Linked DNA regions of Struthio camelus. Each later gene encodes a partner of the first gene's protein in a complex. Links are inferred from orthologs where the notes say so. Each region holds a gene or a part of one and is shown in the gene's direction. Other genes may lie near its edges.

Region 1 (10,841 bases):
TCTCCTTTGCCCTAAAAAAAAAAAAAAATAAAGGTGCAAAATAAGGTTGAAAACAGTTGTTGATATCTGTTCTCAGTAGGTGCTCTAGTTCACTTAATCATTTTTTTTCTCTTGCAGTGCTCTTCCAGCTCTCCTGGATTCAGATGAGGTCAGTAAACAAATTTTTGGTACAAATGAGATGCCAAAGGAGTTATGAGTCATCTGTTAAGGACTTGGCTTAATAGAACTGGGTTCTGTGATCTTGCCAGTGCATCAGGAGAATACTACCAGAGGAGGGAGAGTGGCCATAACCAATGATACAACTTGTTACAATACAAATGAGTCTCAAAGGTTTGCTGTCTGCATAGCTCATTCTTTCAGTGGTAATTGTACATATGCTGAAGAATACAATTTACCACAAAGCAAACAGTGGGTTTTTTTTAATTGCTTTACAAGCTCTTTCTGCTGTAGAGAGAGCGTCTGTCTGTGTGTCTGTCTGTGTGTCTGTCTGTGTGTCTGTCTGTGTGTCTGTCTGTGTGTCTGTCTGTGTGTCTGTCTGTGTGTCTGTCTGTGTGTCTGTCTGTGTGTCTGTCTGTGTGTCTGTCTGTGTGTCTGTCTGTGTGTCTGTCTGTGTGTCGTGTCTCTCTCTTTTTGCATACTCAGTTGTGGTTTTACCACTCAGTTTCTCCTCTTCCCTTTGTACGTGAACTCTTAGGGGAGGGATGTTATGCTGTGGAAAAGCAGCTGAATTATGTAGCTTGGAGAATACTTTTAATTAACGTTGTGGGTAGCAGATACTCTTGGTATCATGATACCATTAGTTAATGTATCACTTGAAAAGTACTGTAATGCATTTAGAGGAAATGATAATAGCAAAGTATTTTCGAGTCTTCTGGCATAACTTTGTGTTAGTGTCAAAAAATGCACGTTGGGAATTCAGAAGGCTTTTCTGGTAACTACTTTTTAAAATGCTACACAGCAATGATGAATAGTGTAGAGGATATTGTCATAGCACTGTGGTTTTTAAATGATGGCTCTGTCCCATGTTACTAGTATTATCGTGCCCATCGCTGTTTCCCCAAGGTCTATCTCCAGATAGTGTCAGTCAACTTGCTAACAAATAACAAATTTATGCTGGAGTTAAATTGTCAGGAAGATGTAATGAGAAAGAAGGTGAATATTACAGCGCTGAAATAACTATTTGGACCCTTTATGTAGGTAGTCCTTCATATTTTTGTATCTCACAGTAGAATCCCGTGTGTAAGTGTTTGAAAGGGGAGTCCATACTAAGCTGGTATCTGGAGCAGGAGCAAACAGTACAACTCATCAGCTAGTGAGGGAAAGTTACTTTCACAGCAGTGAAAATTATGATGCATGTGAATAATACATGTGTGAATGACATGACCTCTGACCTGTAGTCCTGTGAACTAGTAACTTGTGGATGGAAACGTATACCCTTTCTTTTGGAATGGAAAGTTATACCTGCTGTGTAAGTTGGACTCCTGGCTTAAAATGCATATGAGTATGCATTTGTTGTAAATATGTGAGGCATAACCCCTTATTTCTGTATACTGTTAATATGTAGAGCCACATGACAAAACTAGGTCTTTTTTTTTTTTTTTTTTGTCTTGCAGGAAAGAATGATTACACACTTTGAAAGGTCCAAAATGGAATGAAGGAGCAGCAAATGGAGTTTTTGCTATTAGATGTGGAGACAGCTCTCTTAAAGTTGCTTGGTGGATCAAGTGCATCCTGCTGATTTGTTTCTTGATCTCAGCCTTGGGAGTTTGATGCTTTATTGGAATGAGGGCATCTTGCTGTGGAAGAAGTTCACAAAGACATTGATACACCTTTTGGAAATTTTGAATTTTCAAAGTTGCTGCAAGTTTGGATTTTTAAGCAAATGTATACTATTCTGGCACCTTCTGTAACTTTTCAAATATTTAATCTGTGAAACTAAAATTCCTAATGTCTGCTTGAGGAGTTTATATTTCAGTGTTACAATTTACTGGTCAACTGCCTGTATTGTTTTGGGGGGAGGGTGGGAACAGATAGAAATAAGCACTGGAAAAACAACCTACCCCTTTTCTGGCAGATGTCAGTGAGAGGTTTTTATAGAGCAGTTCCTATTACTGAAGGAAATAGGATGCCAGAAAGGAAATATTTGGAAAAGTTACAGTGATATGATGGGTTTTTAACAAAATCAAGTGCAATTTTATTCGTAACACTGTGTAAGAAAGATTTTCTATTTTAAATGTCACTGACCTATAGGTAACAGTTGCATAAAGCTTACATTTGTTGTGGCACATCTCATTGCCGGCAATGTGGTGGATGCCTGGAAAAATGATTTGCCCCTACCTTCCCATTGTTGCATGACCTAATAAAAAGCAAACAAAGAAACAAAAAAAAAAACCCACGCACCAACCCACTACCCACTTCTGCAAAGCTCTGCAAGTATTTGACTATTATGCTAAGCAGCTATTAACTGGATGTTTTGGCATAACTCTCTTCTCTGCACATGTAACATCTCCCATCAAAAAATTATTACTCTTCTATGAGAAGATGATGTTGCTTTGTAGAGGGAGCAACCACTGCTTACCTTACCGGACCGAAGCTTTGATGAGAGTACAGAGTGCTGGGCTATTTCTGTTCCTAGTGTCTTAGTTATCTGGCCATCCCCTTTAGGCCACTTTAGTCTTGCCTCTAAAGTAAATGATTTGGTGATGTACTTTCCTGTCCTGTGTTAGTCCCTATGGTCAAGAGGTACTCTGTTGATTTGATCATTGTGTTTCAGTCAAAGTTGCAGATTTCTATTCTGTACGTTCCGCCCCCCCCCCCCCCCTGCTTTTTAAAGGGGAAAGAACTTTGAAGTATCTTGGGTGGTTTCCTGGTTTTGTTTTAAGTTTGGCTGAGAAGGTTTCACTTGCAGTAACTTACACAGGGAAACCCATTATAGGCTGTATGACAAAGGCTCTAATTGATACAGTTCATAATCTTTACAACTGATAACTAGCAGGCAATGGCAACACAGCTTGACTTTTAGGGAGCTGTCAGACATGCTAGTTGTGGATCTTGCTGGACAGGCTTGGGGAGTCAGCTTTTCTTGTTCTTCGCCGATAGCGGATAGCTGCGATAGCTGCGTCTGCAGAAGTGTATGTGTGACTGTACTTCATTCATTCCACTGTAAAGTCTGATAGCTTAGCTCTAATTCATCAACAATTTATGCTGGAGCACTGCACTTTACAGTAGAATAGTTGAAACACAAGCGTACGTACCTTCTGTTAACTGTGCTCTGAGGGACAGCAACCTCATAGCAGAAGGGCAGAGAAAAAGCTGGGGCGTTAACACCTTAATCTGCCTCTGCAAGATTTGCGGAGCTCTCCTGCCAACCCCTTTTGGCCACAGGTAGATATTGTAGAATCTTTAATTAGGAAACATTTTGATTTTTAATTTGGTATGCTTAATTGATACAGATGAAACAAACACCCTCCATGCCTTTCTGGGGAGAAGAAATTTTGTGAAATAAAGCTACACTGAACTGACTACTTAATGCTATTTTTTTAAGTCCTCTTGATTTTTTTTTTTGAGACAAATAGAGAAAAACGTTCTCTACTGGAAGCACAAAAAAGAAGTTTGTATGTACTATTTAATAAAAGCTAGGCAAAGAGTAGAAAGACTTACTTGGTTTCTTTCCATTTCCTCACTACCTGTTCCCTTATATGAGAAATTAACCATTTTTTGTATGACTACAAAAGTCATAAGTGCTGTTATTCCTAATAGTTACATTTTCCCCCTAATAGTTACATTAAATGTGCCAATTGAGTGGATGCCTGTGTCAGCTGAAAAGCTAATATAGACTGGGCAAATCACAAATTTCTGAACAAAAGTGAAAATTTGTTTTCCTGTTACAGAACCAGGGTGACTAATTAGTTAAAGACCAAAATAAATACTGTAGATGTGGGATGCTTTCAGTCTACTAGGTTTGAGCTGTCTTCTGACTTCCTCCCTTATCGCAGGGGTGGAAACTTGCATCAGTATTAGAACTGTCCTGAATTCTATGATGGCTTGCTCTGTTATGCCTTCTGGTTATAGCTTCTTGCTCCTGTAGATAGCTGTTCTTATTTTTCCACTTGGTTGGCAGTTTCCATGTCCTTGGAAAGGAGCATCTGCTTCTTAGCGTGCAGCGGCAGGCCTGTGCTGTGACTGCCTTGTTTGCACTCCTGCGGAGAACTTGTATCAGGGATCTGTTTCCACGGTAGGAAGCAGGCTATGGCACGTGCTCAACTGCAGCCACAGTTAGGACTGCAGAAGAGGTGGCTAAAAGCAGGGAATGAGCAGCTGAGACGTGGATGGTGAACAAAGGGTACGTGTGCAAAGGCGTTGCGGTACCACAGCCTCTCCTCCGGCAGCATGCTGGGGCAGGTGTGCTGGTTCTGCTAAGGCAGTCTTTACTCTCCCCTGACTCTTGGTTTTGCTCTTAAACCTCATAGGTGTAGGGGCTCCGTGATTTAATAGGAAAGCTTAGCCATAAAATCCTGCAGGTTTATTTACCTCTGCACAGCAGAGATGACTTTAAAAGTCACATTTATACCCATTCTTTCAAAACAGGTGCTGTAATTTAAAACAAAAGGTACTGACTATTCTGAAGACCTAAAGAAGAGCGGTGAGGAAGAGGGAGAAAACATGTAACTAGTCTTCAGTCTGAGATCTGCAGAAGTTGTTAGTGATTAGAACGTGTAGAAACTGAATTTTCTTGAAGAAACTTGGCTGCTGACTTCAGACGTTATCTGTAACAACCTATCTGGGCTCTGAAGGTCTTTTAGCTCTTCTCAACTGAGATAGTGCTCCACTCACAAAAAATGTAACATGTCAGCAACTCAAATACAGAGGGACTTTTTTGGAGTTCTCTTGGCCTGATTAGTTTTGTGTGTGATTTTTTGTTTGTTTGTTTGTTTGTGAAAAGTGTGATATTACTAATGCAGTGGTAGCATATGCATGCCATACAGAAAGCTGTGAAAACAAAGTAGTAGTGTGGAAGATAACGATGTTGACTTGCTTTTCATTATGGTGCTAGATGCCTCTGCTAGAAGCGCTGAAGGAGAGACGGAGTAGTGTGTAGGGGGTCACATGATGTGGTAAAGAAATGCAACAGGCTTGATAGGCACAGAGTGAGTCAAGATCATAAGACTGGGGGTAGGAAAGGGTATTTTTGTCTTATAAATATCACAGATGTAGAGGGTGAAGTCTGTGGTTTTTTTGGCATTCTGTTCAATTAATACGGCATTTTATGTTGTATGTTAAGGGCGAGGTATGCTACTTCTACTCCTTCAAACCGGAAGAGGCCAATGCCTGGCGTGTAATTTGCAGCCTGGTAAAAATGGATTGCACCTGTTTGCTTGTAGTTATTTGGTGTAACAGAAACTTACTTTTCTCTCACTAATACCGGTGCTTTGCTCCTCTTCGTTTTGTAGGAGGTGCAGGGCAAGGAGCCCTGATGCACGCCTGAGCTGCAGCCTGCAGCTCTCTTGTCTGGGAAGGATGTGACCTGGCATGTGAGCCGTAGGGAAGCCCCGAGCAGGGAAGAAGTTGGCTAAGGGGCGCCACGCTCGCTCTCCCGCCCCTGCGCGTCGGTCTCTGGCTCGGAGCATTTTCAGTCCATTGTCCCCACGCAGCAGCTGCTGCTGGGGGAGACGCTGGCGGATGCTGCGCCTTTTGCTGCTGCTGTGGCTGCGACGGGGGCTTTTTTGGGAAGGGGCAGCATCACAAGTAAAGATTTCCTAACAAGAACGCAAGTTCGCTGGCCCTTGGCCACATGAAGGGTTTTATCTGGAAAAGGGGTTCTGTCTTTTAAAAGGGATAACGATCCTTTTGCAAACGTAATCGTACTAAAGAGAAAAGGAATGTGAAGTCACACAGATAACGGGACCGTCAAAAACAGGCATTTATTCCCTTGCAAGAGGTACGCTGATATTCTTGTCCAGTTTTCTTAGGTTGTGCCGGTCAGCTTCTGTCCTCCTCTGCACCAGCTGGCTTTCCCGTGCGCTCCAGTCTCGCGTCAGCAGCGGGCTCCGGTACCAGCCTCACTACGAGAAGGCGAAATTATCCTCTTAAAGCCTGACCCCTTCTCTGGCCGTACGCCGAGGCGACTCTTCCGTCGGGGTGAGGGCTGGGGCCGGCGGCAGCCTGGGCGACCGCACATCCCAGCCGAGCCCGGCCCCAACGCGGCGCTCCGCGGCTCCTCCCCGCCGGCGGGGGCGTGGCCTCCGGCGGCCCCACCCACCCCGCGCAGGGGGCGGGGCTTGCCCCGGGGAGGGGAGGGCTTGGGGGCGGGGCCTCGAGGCGGAAGCGGCGGCGGCGGCGGCGGCGGCGGGGCGGGACGCGGGGGCTGCCGGGAAGGGCCGGGCGCTGCGGGTCCACCGCCGGTGGTGGCGGCGGCGTTACTGCTGCTGCTTCCGCTTCCCTCGGGGCCCTCCCGCCCCGCCCGCTCTTCCCCCCGCGCCGCCGGCTGCCTCCTCCCGGTGGGTCGGTGGGCGGGTGGGCGGGAGCGGCGCCGCCGCCGCCATCATGCACGACGCCTTCGAGCATGTACCGATCCTGGAGAAGCTGCCGCTGCAGATCGACTGCCTGGCGGCCTGGGGTGAGCGCCGCGGCCGGGCCGGGCCGGGCCTCCTGCTGCCGCCGAGGGACTGCGGGAGGGGAGGGGGCGCCGGGCGGCTCCGGAGGGGGCTGCCGCGGTGCCGGGCGGCCCGGCCGGGGCGAGCTGAGAGAAACGCGGCCTGTTCGTGTCCGGGCTTTGCCGTAGGGAGCCTGCGGTGTGCTGAGGTTGCGCTTCTGGAGTCCTGGTTTTACCCTCTCTCCGCGTGTGTTAGTGGCCTGTAGATGCATCGGTTATGTTTTGGGGGCATCCGTGCCTGCAAAGGATTTGATCTGGTCTTGGTCGCTCCTGCTGTCCGCCCGCTCCTCTGTCCGCGCCGATACAGCTTCGCAAGCGGCCCGAGCAGTGTCCAGCAGATGTAGTGTCGTGGAAGAAAATGAGTAATTAAAAAAATCCTAGACTCTCTGGATCGGTGACCCGTGTAATCTTTTTTTTTAAGGACGAAATTATAACTTGAGTAGTGCTGCCAAACCTAAACGTGGTCGTTCGCGCTAGACTCTGTACTAGAGAAGATGCGAGCATTGTTTGTTTCTGTGGTGAGGCCTTTATCCTTCTCTCTTTGAAAGCCCTTCTTTTGCTGAAGTAGAAAAAAGCCGAAACAGCCCGTGAAGCATACTTGCTTTAAAAAAGTTGTAATTCTGGTTCTGCAGCTTTTCTACCAAATAGTGGAGGAAAGGCCTTCCAGGAAACAAGGTTTTATTAAAATACATGTAGTTTGGTAATGAGGAAGTAGTGATGCTAGAGAGAAATGTTCTTTTATGCTTGTTTCTTATATGACCTGCATCAGGGAGGAAGAATTTCAGTCAAATTTAATGACCAAATAAAGGTACTATGACTTTTGTATGACAGATGCTATACACTGGACAAATTTGAAACCCTCAACAACAGAGTTTTTAAATTAAAAAAAAGTGTATTTTTGTAAATTCTAAATGAATCTAAATGAGTCTCCAAGCAGTTCAAGTGCAATTTAAGCAAAGCTGCCGGAATCCTTTCAGGCATTGCTACTCCTTCATAAAGACTATTATAAACAAAACAAACCTCTTAATACTCCTAACCTAATGTAATTTCTATAGTTTTTTTTTTTTTCCCCTGGCTTCCCCCCTCTCTTCCTCCCCCCTCCCCCCCCATTATGTAGCACTGTTCCTCTCTGGGAGATGGTATCTGAAGAATAGTTTATTATCTCTTTTAATTGCATGAAAGATGCAATTGCTTGTTCCTCTACCTTGCTAAGAACAAGTAGGTAATATCTAAGCTGTAGTCTCATTTTTACTGCTTGATTCCCGGATATTATCTCCCAAGAATGAAAGCTACTACTGAGCATTTCCACCAGAGAAATGATGGGAAACATGCATGTCTCGCAACATAAATCCCTATTAGGAATTTGAAGCAAGTTTCCTGGTATTTGATAAATGTAACAGAGGTGGTTAAGAGTGGTCTTTGCTGATACTGATTAGATTCTTTTCTCCCCACTCTTTGTAGAGGAATGGCTCCTCGTTGGTACCAAACAAGGGCATCTTCTCCTTTACAGGATCAAGAAAGATATAGGTAAGTTGATTTTAAGAACGGCAGAAAAAGGCAGTGGTATTTTTATTTCATGCGCTTTAGAGGTTATAGTGACATTAACACAAATGTTTAATTGCTAATTTTTTCATGCCTAGAGTTTGATATTGTGTGGGATCTTTAGTGGAAGTGTACATACTGTTTATCAGATGTATAAGAAAGATGGCAAGTAATATCTGCCTACCTTCTATCTTTAAATATGTTTTATATTAGGTCTCCATACAGTAAGTTGGTTTAGTTTTTGTGACTGCAATACTTGTAGAGAAATGCAGACAAAAGCAGTGCGCTGTACTAGTTGTCAGAGATCTGATGCTTGTCATCTGTTACTGATCTACTAATCCAGTCTTTCATTTAAGAGCTTTATTCACTGGTGTTACAGGATGGGGGAGGGGGAACCCCCCTAACTAGTTCTATGATACATGTACTCTTCTACTTGCCTCTTGGACAGTCGGTCAGTTCTTAGTCTGTTCTGGAGATGCCACAAAGAGCACTATTATATTTTTAGATTTAGTTATAACTGGCTTTCACTAAACAGGTCTCTATTTCACGTTATCTGTTGTTGTGTAGAAACCCGTGTTATTAAACACGCTAATGTAGTATTACGTACGATAGCAAAGGAGAAAAAAATCTGTTCCCAAGTGCATCAGCTTTTGGAAGGATGTTTATGTGTAGCTACTTGGGTTTTTGAGACTGAATTCAGCTTGCTTTTTCCGAAACTTGTAGGCCATCTATTCCGATGAGAACGTGTTAGTCCTGAGTCGTTAGTGTTTTATCTCACATGGTAAATTTCTCCCCCTTTTTTGCATCAGTGCCAGGAGAGGTTATGTCATCAGAAAGTGTCTGTAAGTCTTTATCCCTAAAACTCCTTTTAAACCCTTGTGGTGCAGTGTTTATTTCTTGTCTACTTTGCAGTGATGTGTTCCCTAGCAATTTAAATTGCTGACATTTGAGTGGTATAGATAAAGTCTTTGGGTACCTTTGTATCTCTCGGTTTGAAAATATTTAAATAATAGATGTTGTAATCTAAAATCCCAGCAAGGCAAAAATCTTAATTGTTGATGAGGTCCTCGGATGGGTACAGGAAGTATAATTTAAATCTTTGCTTGGCTACATGGAAGACCTTCTGATGCATTTAACTGTTAAGTAAAAGATAGCACAAAGACATTAGAGTCATTCTTCTGGTGTTAAGTGATCAATTTTGATTTCATAATTCTCTGTGTTCTATTTAGTGTAAGATTTATTCAGTCATAACTTTACAGGTAACTTCAGTTAACGTGTTCTCTCAAATCTCTTTGGTAGGTTGCAATAGGTTTGAGGTGACGCTAGAGAAATCCAACAAGAACTTCTCCAAAAAGATTCAGCAGGTAGGAAATACCGGCTTCTTGATGTGGGGGAAGTTTTATTGTGTTGTCAGCCAAGAAATCTTGATATGTCAAATGTACTTCTGGCATTTGGGCTAGTTTTAACAGAAAAAAAATATCCAAAGCTATGGGTTCTTCTGGGGGCGGCACAGCCTGGTGTTTTAGTCCACTGTCTCCTCCTATAATAGGAGGAAGCTTGATTTGGCTGCTAAAGCAGAATGCTAAGAATTGGGACTTCACATTTCATTTCTGGATTTTATGGAAGTGCTTTAGTTTGCAGTAATCCTCCAGCTGCTCTGACTGGGAATATTCATAAAAAATGATGGTAGTGCTCACACCTACAGACTGTGATATATTGTTTGACTCTTGGTTATACAATGTGAATGTAATTCCTGTTAGTTGAAATTTAGAACTAAAGTAACTGTTGCTATTTTCAGTCAGGTCTTCTTACTGTTTCATTTTTGGGGAACTTTAGCTCATAATATTCATACTCAGGAAAGTACTCAAAAAAGATTATGTGCAGCCTCTTTCGGCAAGTTCCTGTATTTCCTTTAGATGTACGTTTGTACTGCTACATATTCCTTATTTCAAACTTTCTTACGAGCTTAGGTGACAAGCTCTGTGTGCTAGCTTGCAAAATTTGGGTATAAGTGAAAAGGGTTACAATGGCTGGAGAGAGAGGCAGTGCATAGATAGGTGCCTTGCTGTTTTCATTATTTTAATAGTATATAAGATTCATTGTTTTTAGACTATCTATAATCAAGCCTCAGTCAGAGGTTTGGCTTGTGAATGTAGGCTCTGATAGAACTCTTTCTTTCAGATTCATGTTGTTTCCCAATTTAAAATTCTGGTCAGTCTGTTAGGTAAGTGGAAAAAAATGTTTTAATATTTAGTGAACTCTTCTCGGTACAGTTACTTGGCTGAATGTGACACCCCTTCCACACGCCTGCATAGTGGTCTAGTTGTTGAAAAGTCATTGTCTAGGATTTGGGCTTTTTGACTTTGCAGAGGAAGCATTATGCAGCATAGACTGAGAAGCAGCTTTGCTTGTCATAAACGAGCTTGGAGAACAAAGTATTAACACTAACTTTTGTAATTTTAAAAATAATGTATGGTTTGTATGTGTGTGGGTGTTTATATGTATACACTCACACTTCCACCCTTCCCCCCTCAAACACACACATGTTTTTGTGTGGGTGTGCACTGTATGACAGAGGATAAAACTTCTATTATCCGAACTTGTTTGATGCGTGAAACTTGCTGTTGATGCATTATGCCAATGTTGG
Region 2 (11,113 bases), on another chromosome or scaffold:
TGTTCTTATTAGAAACAAACACTAATGCTGCTTTAAAAAGATGAAAATAATGAATAAACAGCTAGGAGAATATATAAGTGATAAGTGAGATTTATTAAAGGAATATGTAGGACCTCACAACAAGAGAACAAACACCAAAATATCCTCATGAAAGTAGTGAAAACATCTATTATATGTTTATATCTCTAGACTTTCATTTTTTATAATTTGCTTCAAAGAGAAAAATTCAATGGCAATAATTTTAAATTAAAGCTAGAAATCACAAGTATATAGATTACGGGAAATAGAAAAAATAAGTCAACAGTAGAAGAATTAAAGACAATAAAAAGGAATGTTTTAATTCTATTAGGAAAGAGAAGGAATCCTAAAAAGAAATGACAGAAAGAAACGGTAGAATTATTCACAATAATAAAATAAACGCAAAAGCGTTCAGTATTTTGCATTAGTTTAATACCGAGTCATGTCCTGATGGATGCAATTCAGGAAAGACGGTAATATACTGGGATGTAGAGCAGACAACATCCACAGAGATGACTGGCAGAACATAAAACATCTTTTATGAATGACTCAGTGAAATCTTTATATTTAATTTAACAAATAACAATTAAGAAGTGACTTCATGTTAGGCTACAAGAACTCACATGGGGAACAGAAATTTGATAATACAGGACTCTAAAGTTGCAAGATAGAAGATGACATAATGGACATAATGAAGTGGTTCAAAGCAAAAGTTACATAAATTTAAACTTGAAGTAGAGGTAATGAAGAATTGTTATGCTAGTCCTGCAATACTAGATGTAAGCAGTACTCCTCAAAACTGGAGGAGATTATAGAAGATCAGTTTGAAGCAGAAAAAAGGAGAGAATTTCTTTAAGCAGAAGGAAGAGAATTTCTGTGATTCACTGCCTCAGGAGACTGTGGAGGGAAGCAGTATTAGCAGGTTCAAAAGAGAGAAACTCATCAACAGTGAGTTCATTAACAGATACTAAAAAGAGCAGTCAGGGCAAGAGCCTTCTAATGTGCCTAGTTCCAAGCAAGCAGATGCTGGGTGATGCAGGAGGAGCAAAAAAGCATCTCTTATTGCTATGAATGGAGACCAAGTACTGGCCTAGATGGATTATCGTTCTGACCCACTAAGATGTTTCTTTTACATTCTTTATTTTTTCTAGCAGTAAGTATAATTGCCCTTGAAATGACTTATCAAAGCTGCAGGGAGTTCTATGTAATTGGTACTATTATGTCAAGGTTAGAAAGTTTTTGTAAAAAACTGACACAAAGAGGAATTAATTCAAGTAAACCTCATGGCCCATGTTAGGGAGGAGTTCAGATTAAATCACAATGCTATTCCCTTCTGGCTTCATAATCTATAGATCTATGAAATTATCTTCGAGTAAAATAATTTTTCAGCCTCAGACTTGCTCCATCTTTCCCAGGTCCTTAATATTTTTAACTACAAGGTTTTCAAAAGGGTCCCTTACTACCTCTTCCTTTATATATAGCCTTTGTTTATCTTTAATAAATGGATAATTGTACAGGCTTTATGATGTTCACTGTGCTTCACTCTTTTTCATTTCTGTGTGCTCTACCCTGCACAAGAAGGTATCTTTCAATAAAGATTGCCTGAAAATGGAGAACGGAGCAGAAAGGGAGTGAGGGTTAGAGGAAGAAAGAAGAGACTTAGGGAAAACACTATTCCTCAAGGAACTGAAGATAATTTGAGTATAATTTTGAAAAGTCTTAAAATGCCAGGGAACACAGAACAACTATTTTAAAGAATTTGTAATAATCTTTCTGATATTCTTATTGCTCTAATTTTCATAAAATGGCTGATCATTTAAACTTAATTTAAATGTGCTGCAATGGTGGGACAGAGCAGTAATGAGTACTTCCATTTCTTCCCTTTTTGGTGATATGACAATTTACATGGAAGTAAACTTTACAGTTAGTATGATGCTCATACAGTACTACATGTTTAACCAAAAAATATTTATTTATACTTGTTAATGACAATCCTACAAAGACTCACACATGAGCTTAGCTTTAAGAGCATGATTAGCCCCACAGTTTATCTGTTCATGATAGACAAAGATATTTATATGCATAGGACTTTGAAAAATTAAGGCTTTTCTACTCGTGACGGATAATATCTGCCCCAGGAATACTTGTAAAGCTTTCCTACTCGTGACTGATAATATCTGCCTTGGGAATACTTCTATTGAAGAGAACGACAGCAACTGGGAAGAAAAGTATCCCTACATTTGCAAGACATTTGCCTAATCTTGCTTCAAGACATTAAAGCATATATATTTAATGTTCTGATTTATAATTGAAAGAGTTTTCATATTCATTGTTCAGATACTTCTTTCAAGAGGAAGTGTCATAAAATAAAGGTTAAAAGTGAACTAAGAAGAAAAAAGTAAACATTTGCAAAACAATATAATGCTAACAGGTGGAATAGGATCTTTTTATAAAAGTATGGAATTCCTGAACATATTCAAGGTTACATGCATGGAAGCTATGGTGCAAACTGAAAGTATGTTCACAAAAATAATTCTTTGATAGCAAGTGAAAAAAGAAAAGCCTTTGCAAGTTTCTTTCTACAAACAAACAAACAGAAAGAGGAAAGCCTTTGAACTTCCATTGTTCTGACAACAATATCAGCTAGGTTTTATCCAGCACAGTGTTTTTAAATGCTATTAACTTACAGACTACACCATGTTTTTTTTACTGAATAAGTGGTGGTGAGAGTGGAGAGAGATAACCCAGCTGAATATTTTTTTGGATGAATCAGTCCTACTTGAAAGCAACTGAGAGCTCTTGGAGCCTGAAATACAATAATCTCTACCAAATGGCATTGATACTTGCTACTTGTTATGTTTCACACTAGTCAGAAAGAGTGTTAAAGAAAGTGAGATAGAAATTCTAGCAGTATTTGGAATCTGGATGTTGGTCAAGGTCCAAATTTCAATGATAATTCTGGTTTCTACAGCAAAAGATAAATTTAAAACTCCTGACACACTTTTGAATTTTATAAAGCTGGAAGTCCAGCATTCCAAATATGGGGGTATCAGCATCCTTTTATCAGAGCTCTGAAGAATTCCCATTAACTGGAAGCTCTGCATTAAAATAGGTACTGTGAACATTGAAAGTGTTGTGGTAAAGCTAAAATCTTTATTTTAAAGTCTTATTAGGTTACTTATTTTCAGTGAACTACATGAAAAACATACTGCCAGACTATTAATTGAGATGCGTCTGGGCCAAAACTCTATACCTAAACTTCAAAGTATTCATAATCTTACTAGCAGTCCCAAACATCTCTTGACTTGTCCAACTGACTTAACCAAAACTTCAGATCTATGTGCTGACAAACAACGAAAGATAATATTTTTTACTGTTAGGATAGAACATTCACTTCCCTTAGGCAGTGCTGCATTTTCTACTTATGCTGAACTATGCTTAAGCATTTTATCTCCACAGGTTGACTGTGATATTCTCAGGCATGAGTCTGCAGGATGCTGAGTGCTTTGTGGGAGGTGCTGAAAGATTTTAAATCCCATTGACGCCATTGGTACTTGATGGCTCTCAGCACTTTGTGGGGGAGGCGGGGGAAGAGGGGTGTCAGAATCAGAGGCTAACAAATTTTCCTGACCCAATGAAAACGTGTAATCATGGCAGATTGAATTCATACCTTAAGTCTAAACAAGAAAAAAAATATTTTTTTCTGCCAGAAATAAGTAACTTATTGCAAGTAAATCACATTGGTATACGACTTACTCTATGTGCAGTGAAAACAAGAACAGCTGTTCTTGGTTGCTCTGTTTGTAACAAATGTACCCTATTAGGTGTTATAATAGCAAAGTTTACAAGATCTGCCATCCTTTCCATTACACTCTGTTTTTCTTGGCATTTATAAAGTCTGTTATTAACAGTCATTTCAGTTTAAAAAATGCCACAAAACATCTCAGTTCAGGGGCAAAAAAACCAAAACCAAAACCATAAAGCAAAACCCCCCTAAATATTTTTTTCCTGAAAGTGGAAAAAAGCTTATCAGAGAAGGTTTCCTTTCACTAAATATACACAGTCTTCAAGTATAAGATAAGACAGCTTGTGCATTACATATTACAGGACAAATCCTGGCTACATTGATGGCAACGGTAATGTTTTCACTGATTTCAACAGGACTTCATTCCTCTGATACATGAGAATCTACTTCTGGTTCTCAATCTAAATGTACTGATAATAGCTGATACCTATTTGATCTCATTCCTTTGGTAGCTCTTTTTCCTCTTCAGCTCCTAATTGATCGCTCTTAGACAGGTCCTGGACTGAAGAAGCCAAGCTCTTTTTGTTCGGTCTTCTCCAATACGACAGACCTTAAATTTCTGTGATCCTTTTAGTAGTCTTTTGCCCCCTTTCAGTTTGAATCAATCTTTTTTTGAGCAAAGGCAACTGGAAATTTACAGTTAGTTCCAGATGAGGTCTCAACAATATCTTGTACAACAGCAGCCAAACATCTCCTTCTCTGTAGATATCCCTAGGCTTAAATAGCCAGGATTACATTTACATACCCCTCATAGTCCTTAGATGTTTGATAATAGATCAGAAATGAACGTTTTCTTGTACTATGTAATTTCCAAATGCAGTGTATTCAGGACAGTTATATCTACATGTTCTTGCACTGACATCAACTGTTAACTTTGATAGTCCTCTCTCATCCCAGTGTCAACCTCCCAGTCTATTTTTAGAGGACAGTCATATCTCTTCTCAGTAGAAATTCTGGCTATTAGTTTCTAAATGCACGACAATGATATGATACATGATTTTCATATCCATAATAATACTCTCCGCAATTAACTTTAATTGTATGTCCTTATGTCCATCCAGTTCTAGTATAATACCCTAAGATTTCTCCTTTATTGTCGGAGCTGACCTGCACTTTTTAAATTCTTGGCAGTGGTCCCATGGGTATGGACGTCGCACATTAACTGCTGCTCCACCTGAAATACGCAATAGCTCCACAGACAAAACCTGAATGATAGAAAGTATTGCCAGTTGCCTTTTAGCTTGGGTCATATTTTTAAGGTAAAAACGTAATTTGAGTGCAAACTCGGTGTTCAGATCTTAAGTTTTAAGAGAGGAAATGCAGCAGCTCTTAAGAGTTTTAGAAAGAAGCTCGGATTTTCTAAAATCCTCCGCCTGACTCTCATGTGCGTGTGAGGCCTTTCAATATTAACAAATTTGGTAAAGGTACAGAAAGAAAAGGACTGCTCCATGTCTTGCAAGAGGATCTAACTGAAATTGGAGCTGCGCTTAACCGAGGGCTGTTCAGGCAGATGCCAATAAGCAGCCGCTGCCCTGAAGAACGGACAGTCTAATACCAAAGGTGGCAACGCGCTGGGAGACGCGGGAGCTGGCTCCTGGCATCACCTACATCATCGTGGCGCTGAGGGTGCTGCTCAACTCTCGCTCACCAGGGACAATTCCGCTCTTTACCACCTCTGCCTTCTTCAGTCTTGCCAAAGGCGGGAGCTTTTGGGGGGAAGCCCAAGCTCTTGATATCGCGTGAACCTAGCTTAAAAAGGTGCTTTGCTCGCAGTTGAGGAGAGCAGTGGCGTCGGGAAATTCATGGTGTGGCCTGGAGCCCGCCCGGCCTCAGCCCTGCCGAGGCAGCGACCGAGTGGCACGGCCGTTAACCGTCGTTAACGGTCACTAACCGCCCCGCGCCGCGCCGCGCTCCCAAACCCCTGGGCAGGGGCAGGCACCTCTCCCGCACCAGCCTCACCACAGCCGCAGCTAGGCAAGACATCTCTTTCCCTCCCCCCCCCCCCCCCCCCAAAAAAAAAAAGAGGGAGGAGAACACGCCCCAGCCCTCCAAACTACATTTCCCAGAGTGCCGGCAGAGGCGCCGGCTTCCTGCCCCTCACGTGACAGCTCGCCGGGCCCGCCATGGCGGAAGCTGAGGAGAAGGTAGAGGCCGTGGGGGGGCTGTCCCGGGGGGCGAGGAGCCCCGGGGGCAGCGGGCCCTGGGGCCGGGGAGGCCTTTGGGAGCAGAGGGGTAACGGGACAGCGTGTGTGCAGGGCGATAAAGGGAGCCAGCGACGCCTCTGAGGCGTTGTAACGGCCCGGGGTGGGGTGGGGGGGGGGGCGTTGGGGGCTACGCCTGAAACTTTGCCGCGCCGGGGCGGAGGGGGATGGAGGAGGAGATGTTGGCGGCGGTGTGAGGCCGCTTCACTGCCGCCTCTGTGCGAGGGCAACCGCCTGGCGGCGGGGCCTGAGGCCTGGGGAGGCGGCGCGGCCGGTGCCGCCCGCCGCTTTCCGCGGGCGCGGAGGGCCCAACCGGTGCGCGGTTAAAATGCCGAGGTAGCTGTCCCGAGGGGTCAGTCTGGCGGGCTTTCCCCTGGAGCCGCCGGTGCGCGGTCGCGCCTTGAGGCCTGCGGGTTGGCTCCGCTGCAGTGTTGTAAGGAGTGGGACTGAATGTTGTTTTAATGTTGTACCTCGGTTTGTGCATACGTGTAGATGCACAGCGGAGACTTTAAAAGGAGGTGGGGGGGGGAGGCGGTGTTCCAAAGATCTCTGTGAAAGTATGGAAATAATTGGCTTTAAAGGCACACATTGTGTGACAGTAACGGGGGGGAAAATATTTAGCAGTTTTTGAAGTGTTCAGTCTCATTTCAGTCTCAGAAAACAGATTTTCTTTTCCCTTTAAGAATGATATCTTTCTCTGTCTTGCTCTTACCAAGCCATAGAACTGCTAAGGTGTTAGCATCATAAATTTTTTATAGGTTTGTTTGTTTATTTTTTTAAGATACCCCCTCCTATGGGACCCTTAGCAGCTAGGAGTCAGTTGTGATGGTAGGCTTTGAAATGCAACTGGTGTCTGTGTAGAGCAAGGATTAAGGAGCTAAGAGAAGAGAAGGCTTGGTCTGAAATGATTGGGAAACTCTTTTGGAGAGTGGTGCAGAAGATATGGGCAAATTAATTTCGACAGTGGAATTCTCTCCTGAGACAAAATTTGAACCGTTTGGGCTTTATTCTGTGTCCTTAGGACCCACGGTTCTCTAAAGTGATGGTCCTCATAGAACTCTCTTGCCTTAGACTAATTTCCTAAGAAAATAATAAAAGCTTGAAAAGAAGTGGCTTGCTGCTTTCAAATATTTCTTAATCTGTTTCATTACTGAATTTTTTTTTTTTTGACATAGTACTAGGCAGTATGACGTTTTTCTCTGTTGAACACCTAAATGTGGGAGAGTTCTTAAATTTTCTCAAGGAAATGGGTCTTAATTGGTATTTGGTAGATGCATCTGGTTTGCACCTTTCTTGCTGCCATGGGTTTTGTTCGGCAAGGCTGGTTTCTTTTGAGAAGGCTTGGTTGCCTGATTCAGCAAATTTTTAAATGTAGCAGCGTTCAAAAGAATTCTTAGAATAGGACCAACTCTGATGAAACTTCTTATCTTATTTAAAAAATATAAGAGATTAAAACAACCTGTGTTTTGCTCTCTTTGTGCTATGGTATAACAGTTATCTAATTCACTTGTTTATTTTGTATGTAGAATATGTCTTCCTCCACTGAAAGGAATCTATAGGTTGTGCATGGAGATAAATGATTGCATGATTTCTTTGAAATCCAGGTTTCATGATTTATTCCCCTCCCAGCAGATTATTGGCCTAAAAATATAGTTGATATTGTCTGTTTTTGTGGGGGGGGGGGGAGAAGGGAAAGCCCCATATCCATCATATTGGAAAGCTGGATTAAGAATTTATTGAGCAGTTATGTTGGATCTGCTAGCTGGGTGATTTTAACAGTCAGAGATGATTTTACATTTCTGTGGTTTTCTCATCTGTGTTCCCTTCTTCTATTCTTAGGCTTCTAGAGCAACAGCATTTGCCAGCTGACTGAAGTGTACAGTAACGCTACTGTTCATTTTCCCCCTAGAGTCTGACAGATCTACCAATCAATGGCAGTTATTCCTCATGATTTGGGAATCTGGTCACCTACTAATCCCTGATGAGGGGTTTGCTCTTCACAGTTATGAGACTACTAAGAAGTCAAAGTGGGGGATAATCACCTTGGTTCATGCATTTAAAGGAGGGGGGGGGAGGAATAACAAAATTCCAAGGCAGTCGTAACTGCAGTTTGCTACTGTAGTTTTGCCTACGGGAGTGGGACAAAAACCTTTTCATAGTAAATTGCTAGCATAGTGAGTTAGCAGTTACTTGTCTAACAGTCTAGCAGTTACCTTTCTAAACACCTTCAGCTAAATTCTTGTTCAAGGAACAAATACAGTTTATGCCTTTATTTCTGAAGCCGGGGCTCCCTTTGAACTTTTGCGTGTCATTTCTTTTAGTAAAGCATAAAGGCCTTGAAGCATTTAAAGTGTGCCTGTATGTATACGCGATTTATGAAATCTAGTGGCTGCAATTGCAGTGGCTAACAAATGTAGTAAGTAGGGATACCAGGGTATATGTTCTAGACAACAAGAAGTTCATATTTTTTGGTTCACAGAGATTTGGTTATTTGAGTCAACTTCTGGTGTGTCTTGATTTTGTAGGCCAATATTTCTCAAGTTGTTATTTGGAAGGGTGTCTTTGGAGCTTACTGCAGTCTTTGCTTTAAGTGACTCAGCTGAACGGGAAGATGGACTGGTGTAACAGCAAGAGGGTTGTTACTCCACTGTGTGTGTCAGTCTATCTTTGTGGTGTTACACAGTAACCTCACCTTGAAAATTCTTGTCCCTAGTTTTACCTACGCTTCTGTTTTGCCGAATAGCTGTAATAATTGGAAGCATGTGAAATAAAAATAAGTGATGTAGCTGCACTAGCAAGTATCAAGAGTACCAGCAGAAATGTCACTTGCAGTAGCAGCTTATTTTGTTTGGGAGTGCAGGCTAATGTTTTGTTTTTGCAAACAAATTCTTCTGTTGATAAAGAATAAACCTGCTCTAAGGTTCTTTGTTTATGTAACTTCAGACATAATCAAAAACCTTGCTAAGTTTAGGCAGAGCTCTTGGAAGAATGGGAATCATGTGGAAATAACAAAATGATAGATCCAATACCTTTGGTTTATAAAGGGCTGATTAGGCATCTGCAGGCTCTTCAGGAGTCAGAGGCAGTTCTCCTGTTAGAAATCTGGTGATGTTTTGCGTTGTACTTTGTGTGTTGTGATACCTTCACTGTTGATGTTACATCACCATGTTTTAGCTCTATCATCATTTGGTTCTTGTTGTTAAGTAGATTTTAAGATGCATAGAGATTCTATGTAATAAAATCCTCATGTCCTAAAAGGTGACCGCATCTTGTGAATGGAGACCATGAAACTGACTCGCAGCCAGTAATACTTGCAAAGTCAAACCTTAGCTTGAAGGGGTGCTAGGATTTCACTCCCTCTTCATCCTGCCTTGCCTCCCATATTTCTTCTTGCCATTCCGCAACTCGTGTCATGAATATAGGATGCATAGATAGCCCTTCTATGGGATGTATGTTTTAGAGGCAGGCCTGACCGCAGTAAATAAAGTGCGGGAAATGGATGACAGTAATTGTGGTAACACCTTTCCCTGAATTTCAAATAGAAAGTACAAATGCTGCCTTTCTTTTCCCTCATGTGTATCTCTAATCAGGTGTGAGAGTCACTGTAGGTGAACCTCTGGTAGTGCAAAGGAGACCCTTGCTTTCTGCCCTGAGGTCGTGATAAGTGCATGTTATAAACAGGGAAAATAAATAAGCTTGACAAACTAAAGATGACACTGGTCATCAGTGCCTTAAATTTTCTTCCCATTTCTCTTTATGCTGTTGGTAACTATCTCTTTTTTTTTTTGGCTTCTTTTGTGAAATTCTATACCTACTTAGCTTATTGTCCAGATATTACTTCATAAGATTTGAAACACCACCTTTTCTCATGATCATTCTTTGTTTATATCATGCGTTATTGTTAAAATGCTTACGTTCACTGTCAGCGTATTAGTTGTAACCTTTTATTGCTATTGATAACAATAAATACGTTAAGTAAATCTACATTTTGCTGACCTCTTTGAGAAGGCATTGCATCAGCAGATTTTACCAGTGGACAGTGGGAGATTAGCAGGAGTTGACTTAATTTTTTTTTATGGTACAGTAAGATTCATCATCTTGCCAGAGAGAGGTTTTAAAGGTACAGTTGCATCAAAGGCAAGAGAAAGGCGCTTTGTTTGCATTGATGTGGCATGGGAAGGAAAAAGTCATTAAACTTGCTTTCTTGATGGCTTTCTATGGAAAATGGTTTGATATTAGTTTATTTTAAGATAAGTATGTTGATAGCTGGATACCAAAGCTACTTTATAGATAACTTGAGAATGCTGTTCTGCCCTTGTGTGTCAAGGGGTGGGAAGTTGCTTTTTATGGAATTTATTAACGTTTCTGGGGGGAGGGAGAAACTTTCACTGGGACCTGACACTTTATCAGATGATGCCCTCTCTTTTAGAGGAACCAACAGTAGTATCACAGTCAACTGGTGCCACTGAGTGTCAGTGTGGCACTAGATTACAAGTATAAGCACAAATTGGCTATGAATGTAGAGGATAATCATTTCTGACATGTTCAAAATAACTCTGAACCTCTGAGCTGCTTCCGCTTTGTCTTCTGTCCCATAATAATGGTCAAAAAGGTAATTAAAAGGGGGACTATTGCTCAGTTGTTTAGGTTATATATGTACTTACTTAATTTTTCCTTTGTTCTTCTTTGTATTGTTTTCAGGAAACCAGGTCTAATGAAGAATCAACAGATGAATCTGAGGTAAGCCTCCTTAAGATACTTCATACCTGAATTAGTTTCAGTACCTAGTCCTTTGTCAGTATGGAGAGAAAAATATTACTCTCATTAGTTTGTTCTGGTGGGTGCTTATTTAGAAGTTGTTCTTGTACTATAGTAGTGAATGTTACGCTGGGGTTAAATGATATAAAGGAGCTGTGGTTTGCTATTAAAAAGCTACTTTATATTTTAAAAAAAACCACCCTATTTTAGTATAGTGAGTTGTATTGGGAGAAAAATTCAACAGCATGTACTTCTGTTTTGATCAAATGAAAATTTAATTGACATTGTAATTATATATGCAGTAATACTATATTCAAGTAATTCTAGTGTT

Evidence for each region.
Region 2: VPS39 (region 1) and VPS41 share a complex: the UniProt entries of both Homo sapiens proteins name them as parts of the homotypic fusion and vacuole protein sorting (HOPS) complex. The link is inferred for Struthio camelus from reciprocal best matches to the Homo sapiens genes VPS39 and VPS41.

What each region holds. Positions count from the first base shown.
Region 1 is NC_090946.1:42,487,785-42,498,625, reverse strand, and holds the start of VPS39 (vam6/Vps39-like protein), read left to right. Parts: upstream 1-6,353; 5' UTR 6,354-6,543; coding exon 6,544-6,616; intron 6,617-6,786; exon of another isoform or gene 6,787-7,170; intron 7,171-8,113; coding exon 8,114-8,179; intron 8,180-9,493; coding exon 9,494-9,558; intron 9,559-10,375; coding exon 10,376-10,418; intron 10,419-10,841. Other genes in the region: TMEM87A (transmembrane protein 87A), read left to right, coding at 118-148, 1,614-1,655. UniProt on the Homo sapiens protein: Regulator of TGF-beta/activin signaling, inhibiting SMAD3- and activating SMAD2-dependent transcription.
Region 2 is NC_090943.1:57,831,208-57,842,320, reverse strand, and holds the start of VPS41 (vacuolar protein sorting-associated protein 41 homolog), read left to right. Parts: upstream 1-5,897; 5' UTR 5,898-5,946; coding exon 5,947-5,967; intron 5,968-10,609; exon of another isoform or gene 10,610-10,624; coding exon of another isoform or gene 10,625-10,636; intron 10,637-10,725; coding exon 10,726-10,764; intron 10,765-11,113. UniProt on the Homo sapiens protein: Plays a role in vesicle-mediated protein trafficking to lysosomal compartments including the endocytic membrane transport and autophagic pathways. Acts as a component of the HOPS endosomal tethering complex.